Linked DNA regions of Saccharomyces cerevisiae S288C. The protein of the gene in region 1 purifies or fractionates together with the protein of each later gene. This does not show direct contact. Each region holds a gene or a part of one and is shown on either strand. Other genes may lie near its edges.

Region 1 (5,293 bases):
CTCTCGCTACTTTTCTGGTATTTCTCTCGTTTTATTGAAAAGGGGACTGTTTATGTGGGAAAGAGAAGAGGTACAAAGGAGGAAATATATGTAAAGACAAAGTTCGAAAAGAACGAACCATTATATCTGGTTGAGCTTGTTCAGAAAAAAAAGGGAGAAAACTCCAAGAAGGAGTTGAAGGCAAAATTAGAAGTGAATAAGGTTTTTAATGAAAGTGGATATTTACAGAACGATGCGTATTTTAAGTGGTTCTCTGAACAGCACAATGTCCTCGACACCAAAAAAAATGAATAAATAATGTATAAAACATATAACTTTGCAAATGATTCAAAAATTCAAATTTTCTCTCTCTCTCTCTATAAACATAAATATATATGTGTATATGTTTTCTTTTTTTTTTTTTTTTTTTTTTGAATGATATTAAGTTATACGAATGTTCGATAATATATATGTATGAATAAATAAAAAGTTTTTAAAGTAGCCTTAAAGCTAGGCTATAATCATGCATCCTCAAATTCTGTTAAAGTAGGTCCCTCATAAACTTCATTATACAGCACGTCGTTTGGTACTCCAACTGTTCTTGCCTTTAGTGTTGATAGATCTAAAAGATCAGGCTTCAATTCCGCAATGCTAGTAACACCTAATAGTCTCATAGACATTTCAATTTCATCTCTTAAAATTTCAATGGCTTTTTCAACACCATTACGACCATAGCATGAGTTCGCATACAAGAATGGTCTACCCAAACCAACACCTTTAGCACCTAGACATAACGCTTTCAAGACATCTGTACCACGACGAACACCACCGTCCACGAAAACTTCCAACTTATCCTTCAAGTTACGTTGTTCCAGGATTGGCATGGTTTCAGCCAGGACTTCAATGGGAGCCCTTGAAAAATCTAATTGTCTACCACCATGATTGGATAGAACCACCCCACTTACACCGATTTCTGCTGCTTTGATAACATCTTCGGTACGTTGAACACCTTTGATAACAATAGGTAGTTTTGTCTTTTTCTTCAACTCTTCTATATCTTTCCAAGTCAAAGAGGGGTCAATAAACTTTGATAACGCTCTCGAAGCACCTTGAGATTCTTCTACATTAGTTTTCTTCATCGCTTTTGGACCAGCCTTTGTATTGGAAAATTTCAGCTTCATATCTTTTTCTCTTTGACCTAAACTTGGAGCATCCACAGTGACAAATAATGCCTTTACACCCAGCTTTTCTACATTTTTAACCAAATCATCAGTGATCTTTCTATCAGAGTTAACATATAGTTGGTACCATTGAATTTGTTTATCAGAGGGTGCTGCTTCAATAATTTCCTCAGGGGAACATGAAGCCAAAGTAGATATCATTTGTGGGACTTTTGTCACACCTTGGCCACAACCTCTGGCGACATCTTTTTCACCTTCTAAGGGGTTTCCCAGTTTACACAAAGCTGTAGCAGACACGTAGAAGGGAACATCCACATGAGAACCCAACATGTCAGTTGAAATGTCTACTTTGCGTACATCTACAAGGATCTTTGGTTTGAAAAAAATCCTATGATAAGCATTATGGTTTTCTCTGTGAGTAACTTCGTCGTTAGCACCGGAGGAATAGTAGGCCCACGCTTGTTTAGTCAAAGTTTGAGAGGCCAAGTATTCAAAGTCGTAAAGGTTAATAATATTATCTAGAGGAGGTAGCAGCGATTTTAGTTGTTCTTTTCTAGCGATATCTTCCTTAGTTTCACCAGGAGCATAAGGAGGACAGACAAGTTCAGGAGGCATGGATCCTTGAAGGGGACCCAATTTTTTCTCGGGAGCTATATACTTATCGATGACATTAGGAGCATGTAGTGGTTCAAAAATAGCAGTGACATCTTTCCCGGCGTTAAACTTGATAACATCCTGCCCACCTGGATGATTTGGTAGGAATCGCGTTAAGTCGTATACGTAACCATTGATCACAACCCAACAATCATCGGGCTTGTTATGCTTGGCAACTTCAGCGGGCGAAATCTTTTGTTTATTCATATCCAGTTTCGGCTCGTTGTCTATTTGGCCATTATGCCAGTTTAGATACGCCACGGAACTAGTAGCGGCTAGAATTGCACCGACTCTCAAGGCAGTCCATGACTGTGTGCGTTTTCTTGAGTCTTGTTCGAACGACTTGGATTTTGGAACGGTAGAACCGTACGCGCGGATTGTGTTCAATCTAGTCTTAGACGCTCTGAGGATAGCAGCCTCACAGTTCTTCGAGATTTTTAGTAAAGGTTTGTATTTTAGCATTGACTACTTTTGTTTGCTTTCTTCTCTATGCGGGAACTGTATTAGCGACATAGGATGTAAGAATACGAAAAGATGCAAGAAGATTAGTCGACCAGGTACTTATATATTCACATACTCCAACTGAAAGTATTGGAGATCTAAGGTTCAGCAGTTGGTTCTTGGCGGTTCTTGTATGACATTATTATTGGTCGGGTCGTAGTTCTCTCGAACAGGAGGAGGGGGCAAGGAGATATCGGCAGGCTTTTTGCTAGCGCCTTGTTTGAAAAGCGTGGGGGTAGGTCTCCAAGCGATTATTGAGGAAGTAGTTTCAAGTATTACAGAGTCCAGGGCACAAGGGTCTTCATTATAGAGAGAGAATTTTCGTGAAAAAAATGGGCAGAATGCCACATGTTAGCAATGCAACGACTTGAGTGGGGGGTGATCCTTCCGATGTATGCGTGAAAGATCTCGTGTTGTGCAGGAAAGGGAATCATTTCGGAAAAAAAAGATGCAACAAGGAGGATGGCATGTGGATACTACGTTCTTGCGTAATATCCTTTTTGTTGCCTGTGTTAATACGTGAGCAACATTTTTTGTTAAAGTAGGCGATCAACTATTGCCCCCTGATATTGGTAGTAATTCTGCTAAAATATCGGCTGAGAAATGGTGATTCTCAAATAATTGCTGGGATTCCACTGGATATGGCCCCATTCTTAGATATATGGAACGTAGTAGAAGGCCTCTTAGAGGCTATGGGAGTCTCTCAAGAGAAAATCGACATTTTTACGTAATCATTCGTTCATTTCACTTTATACGTCATGATTCAATATCGTATTACTTTATCAAGTACCCGCGTTTAAACTTCATTAAATGACTGCGTCTCAATCTTTATGTCATCCTCCCTCCGCAAGTGACAATGTACTGGTAAAATAAAAACTAACTAACTAGATGATATTTTTAGAGTTTTATTCCAACGTTTCTCAATAGGCGATGGAGGAACAGAGTGAATATAAGAGGCTCTGTGGATTTATGGTTACCGGATTTATTTCGTAAATTCTTATTGAAGAATGGGTGAATTTTGAGATAATCGTTGGGATTCCATTTTTAATAAGGCAATAATATTAGGTATGTAGAATGTACTAGAAGTTCTCCTCGAGGATTTAGGAATCCATAAAAGGGAATCTGCAATTCTACACAATTCTATAAATATTATTATCATCATTTTATATGTTAATATTCATTGATCCTATTACATTATCAATCCTTGCGTTTCAGCTTCCACTAATTTAGATGACTATTTCTCATCATTTGCGTCATCTTCTAACACCGTATATGATAATATACTAGTAACGTAAATACTAGTTAGTAGATGATAGTTGATTTTTATTCCAACACTTATATTCTATATATCCATAACATTGTCTACATATAATCCGAGAGGTTACGACAACATTCATATAATAAGGGTAGTACTGACACTTTATTTTGAAGTAAATCAAAATAGTCACTCTCGGTAGCCAAGTTGGTTTAAGGCGCAAGACTGTAATTTACCACTACGAAATCTTGAGATCGGGCGTTCGACTCGCCCCCGGGAGATATTTTTTTTCCCTTTTTCTCCAGGCCTAGTGAGGTTTGAGTTTTGAACGTTTTATAGATAGATGTAAGGTAGCCAGAATGAGCACTTAGCCTTTAAAGTAAATTGAGTAGAGATACGTAAACAGTCGTGATAAATATGTAATACATTGTATTATTTTAAATAGGTTAAATTTTCTTTTTTTTTTTTCCATTTCATTTTCATTTTCATTTCCTGCAGTTATTTTTTTTCTTATTAATCTATATCCATGTAATCGTTAGCGATATTGTTGTTAGTCAACGCGGCCATGGCAGTACCGGGTGCTTGTGATGCAATTATACTTTGGGATGGTAGAAGATGATACTGGTGTTGTATAATACTAGCACTTCCAGTAGGACTCGTGCCTGTTATGTCGCGATTAGTGTTACCGAAATAACCATGAATCATGTACTCTTCTGTTTCAGAATAAAATTCAGATTCGTTCAGTAAGCGGCTGTTCATAGTGTGGTGCATACTAACCGGTTTCAGGGGACATATTTCGATATTTTTTTTATAATGAATATTATTGTAGGTTGCAGTATTATTGCTGTTATTATGATTATGGTTATTATTATTATTATTGTTGTTGTTGTTGTTGTTGATGATGATGTTGTTGTTGTTGTTATTAAGATTAGCACACCCGGAACCGACCGAAAACTTTGTACTTACAGAATCTCGTTTTGTTCTCTTCGATCTTTGGTAGAAAGTGTGTGTATCAAACTCGAAATGGTCATTTTTTCTTTTATTCATGATCGTATCATTATTGGCGTCGCTGTTGTATGTAGTGGCGGCATTGCTACCGGAATTGCAATTGTTTGTTTGGAACGCAGTATTGTGTTCATAGTATGAGAGCATTTCACGCAGCACACTTGAGTCTTAAATTAATGAATAAAAGCAGCCAACCCCAAGAAAAAAGAGCCCTTATCTGTTTCTGTCGCAGTCCTATTGTATTCTTCCTAACTATATAATTTTGTCAAAATGAAAAATATAAAAAAAATAATAAAGTCAGCTGAGTGGTAAAGAGAAAGCAAAGGGAGAGAAAAATCGGTTACCCAGATGGATTAGGTTACCCAGATGTCATACGTGTATCATGATTTCTAGAAATTATTACCCTGTTTGGTACCATGACAACGGATATGGCAATCTTGCATTAAGTAAAATGTCTCTAATGGGACCGTGAAGGTACAAAACAGCAATGGTCTAGGTAGTGGCATTCGAAGCTTCGAAAGCGTGGCCTCGCCTCGAGCGTGAAGTCATATTTTCTCACTCTGCACTGCCGTGCTGTGCCATGTAGCCCACTGTATGCCTCTAGCACCCCAATCGGGAAAATTGTAAACATTAGCAGGTGTCGCCTCGAGGCCCCCGATACATTTTTCAACATCTCCTCGATACTTAAACAGCAAACAAACAAGCAACACCCACGCAA
Region 2 (3,888 bases), 140 kb from region 1:
GCAGGGAGGATTCTGTTGTTCGCACTTCTCTGCTGAAAGCTATCCTCCTCCTCATCTTCCTCATCTTCATCTGAAATGGCGATGCTAAAAGAATCTACCATTCGAAATATATCAGATCTATCCATTGCCTTTCCATCAAAACTCAATTCAAAGCTTTCGTTGGCATTTGTGGAAACACTGGCCCCGGCTCTCTGCTTCGCATTGGAATTAGGGAGATTCTTTACGGGCTTGCTGTTACCTTGCAGCTGCTTTTGTTGCCGTAACGTTGATGTCAGCTGCACTCCGCATAATTCGTCTAGTGATTTTGAGATCCGTGTCTTACTATTTGTGGACAATTGAATAGGTTGCAAGAAGTGATAGTTTTTCTCAAACTTCAACGAAATTAGCAGGATTATGATTTTTTTGGATATATCGTCTATCGTTTCGTGCACTGGAGATGGTAATTTATATGTGGTAACGACGGACCTAGGTAAGATGCACTTCTTGATGTTGAAATTTGTTTTTGATTTCGTGGGAGAATTCGTCAACTTAGGTGCCACACTAGTGCTACTTCTTGTACCATACAAATCAATTGGCTTGGTAAAATACCGTTTCTTTGTACACGTTCTGGAAGGAAAAATAATTTCATTTATGCTGCTCACTTCCTTCGTTTGATTGAATTTAAGAGATTTAGAATTTAAATGCGACACCGACTGATGATGCGGATGGGAATTTACATTGGTGTTTGCAGCGCCCATGGTATTTGTATATCTAGATGGCCTGTTATTATTACTGCTACCGCCCCCGGTATAATGGTCTTCATTAACTCCTTTATTAACCTGCGAAATACTGTTAAACCTTGGTCTCAGGTTTTTTGTGGGTGACTCTGGATAATAGAAAAACTGCTGGTTGGAATCGAAAGTCGCTTTTTGTTGGAAGCTCAGGACTGGCTGCTGATTCAAATTAAACTGCGTAGGAGGCAGGACCAGCCCACCGCTGTTATTGATGTAAGATGATTTGTTATTGAGCGTCCTTCTTGGCGACACTGATGGACTTGGGCTCATTGCTACCTACTTTTTTTCTTACTGACCTAAGGCTGCAGGTGCAAGAAAAGAGTAAAAGAATGTTAAAATACGTTTTGAAAGGTCTCTGTTTTCATGTACAATTGAGGGATAAAAAAATCTTTTCTTTCTTTCAATGCGGATGATTGACACTTTCTTATTTTGTGTTTTTATTTATGTTCTTTCCTAATCTGGAAAGCATATTAAAGACCGGCGCTACCCGGTTAAGTAATCATACACGTGAAAAGCACGTGAACAACAAAGCACTTTAAAACTCATATACTACGCATTTAAAGAATGCTAAAACGGCAATTGCCACTGGGCACCATTTAAAAGGTCAATAATGAATCTGTGACCTTTCTTTGCTATAGCATCACTACAACTATGTGTTGCTTGTCGCTAGCAACGAACCTATTATTCCTTCGCTTTATTGTCGAAGACCACAAAATACTCCAAAGCAATAGAATGTCTCTTTCCGCAAATAACTTACTCAGGGAAACAATACGAATATGTGCAGATTGCCGATCATTGCTGAAATGCCTCAAAAATATGCATTTTCTCATGACCTATTCATTCGGACCAATCATATGAAGGCATTGAACGTCCGGGTAACCACAATAAGAGTGCTCCCCCTTAGCGCTCTTGGTTATTGCCGGTATTTGCAACGTCGACAGGGTATATATAAGATGTATAGGGCATAGTGGGGAAGGAGTTTTAACTACCAATTGAGGAGTTTCAGGTAGGGTGTCAGTTTCATCACATCATCGAATTACACGTTTACCCAAGAGAAGAAACTAAAAACCACTATGCTATCGAAGAATTTGTATAGTAACAAGAGGTTGCTCACCTCGACGAATACGCTAGTCAGATTCGCTTCCACCAGATCCACAGGGGTGGAAAACTCCGGAGCAGGTCCTACATCTTTTAAGACCATGAAAGTCATTGACCCTCAGCACAGCGACAAACCAAACGTGCTGATACTGGGTTCGGGGTGGGGAGCTATTTCGTTTTTAAAGCACATTGACACCAAGAAGTACAACGTTTCCATCATCTCTCCTAGAAGCTATTTCTTATTTACGCCTTTGTTACCTTCTGCACCAGTTGGGACAGTAGACGAAAAGTCAATTATTGAGCCCATCGTTAATTTTGCTCTCAAGAAAAAGGGGAACGTTACCTACTATGAGGCAGAAGCCACCTCTATCAATCCCGACAGGAATACCGTTACCATAAAATCATTATCTGCCGTTAGCCAGCTATACCAACCTGAAAACCATCTAGGGCTGCATCAAGCAGAACCTGCTGAAATTAAGTACGATTATTTAATCAGTGCTGTAGGTGCGGAACCTAACACATTTGGTATTCCTGGGGTCACTGATTACGGTCATTTCCTGAAGGAAATTCCCAACTCTTTGGAAATAAGAAGAACTTTTGCCGCCAATCTAGAGAAGGCTAACTTATTGCCAAAGGGTGATCCCGAAAGAAGAAGACTACTGTCCATTGTCGTGGTTGGTGGTGGGCCTACTGGTGTAGAGGCCGCTGGTGAACTACAGGATTATGTTCACCAGGACCTGAGAAAGTTTCTCCCTGCATTGGCCGAAGAAGTCCAAATTCACTTGGTCGAAGCTCTGCCCATCGTTTTGAATATGTTTGAGAAAAAGCTTTCATCATACGCGCAATCACATTTAGAAAACACTTCGATCAAAGTACATCTGAGAACGGCTGTCGCCAAAGTTGAAGAAAAGCAATTGTTGGCAAAGACCAAACACGAAGACGGTAAAATAACCGAAGAAACTATTCCATACGGTACTTTGATTTGGGCCACGGGTAACAAGGCAAGACCGGTAATCACTGACCTTTTCAAGAAAATTCCTGAGCAAAACTCGTCCAAGAGAGGATTGGCAGTGAATGACTTTTTGCAGGTGAAAGGCAGCAACAACATTTTCGCCATTGGTGACAATGCATTTGCTGGGTTGCCACCAACCGCCCAAGTAGCGCACCAAGAGGCCGAATATTTGGCCAAGAATTTTGATAAAATGGCTCAAATACCAAATTTCCAAAAGAATCTATCTTCAAGAAAGGATAAAATTGATCTCTTGTTCGAGGAGAACAACTTTAAACCTTTCAAATACAACGATTTAGGTGCCTTAGCATACCTGGGATCCGAAAGGGCCATTGCAACCATACGTTCCGGTAAGAGAACATTTTACACCGGTGGTGGCTTAATGACCTTCTACTTATGGAGAATTTTGTACTTGTCCATGATTCTATCTGCAAGATCGAGATTAAAGGTCTTTTTCGACTGGATTAAATTAGCATTTTTCAAAAGAGACTTTTTTAAAGGATTATAGATGAAATTAACATGCCCTTTTCTGGAAAAAGGAAAAAAGGTGGTAGGCACCGTTTTTTCCTGAGTTTGCATCCTTTTTTTTCTAAAACCCTCTAAACAAAACCTAACACACACACACACGCACAAAAAAATGCACATGATGTTTTATTATTTATATATTCCCACTTTTTTCGAAATGATGCTTGACTAATGCACAAGCAAAAAACCCCGACAAGATTGGTTGATCACTTCAGCTTTTTCCTCCCATTGTCCTATATATATATCTGTGATTATTTATTTCTTCCTCTTATGTTTCTCTATTTATTTTATACGCCAAATCCCATTTGTATATACGTAACGAAAGCTTTATAATTCTTATGCCCCGCAAACACTCAATTGCCGAATGTTTCGTCTACTCACCTCAGTCATTGGAAAAACTCTTTGGCTTTTTTGATGTTTTCCAATACTAATTCTTGTGGAATATTCATATCTTTCAACACTATAAAACACACCATATTGGAC

What was found. The genes of interacting proteins can lie anywhere in the genome.
Region 2: the proteins of CYB2 (region 1) and NDI1 purify together in Saccharomyces cerevisiae (affinity purification with mass spectrometry, with the first as the bait; one large-scale study listed by BioGRID). This does not show direct contact.

Annotation. Positions count from the first base shown.
Region 1 is NC_001145.3:165,033-170,325, forward strand, and holds CYB2 (L-lactate dehydrogenase (cytochrome)), read right to left. Parts: upstream 2,277-5,293; coding exon 501-2,276; downstream 1-500. Other genes in the region: signal peptidase complex subunit SPC2, read left to right, coding at 1-294; YML054C-A (uncharacterized protein), read right to left, coding at 2,591-2,749; YML053C (uncharacterized protein), read right to left, coding at 4,084-4,722. UniProt on the Saccharomyces cerevisiae protein: Catalyzes the oxidation of (S)-lactate (L-lactate) to pyruvate with subsequent transfer of electrons to cytochrome c. Is involved in the utilization of (S)-lactate as a sole source of carbon for growth.
Region 2 is NC_001145.3:27,766-31,653, reverse strand, and holds NDI1 (NADH-ubiquinone reductase (H(+)-translocating) NDI1), read left to right. Parts: upstream 1-1,846; coding exon 1,847-3,388; downstream 3,389-3,888. Other genes in the region: YML119W (uncharacterized protein), read right to left, coding at 1-1,043; Rag GTPase GTR1, read right to left, coding at 3,792-3,888.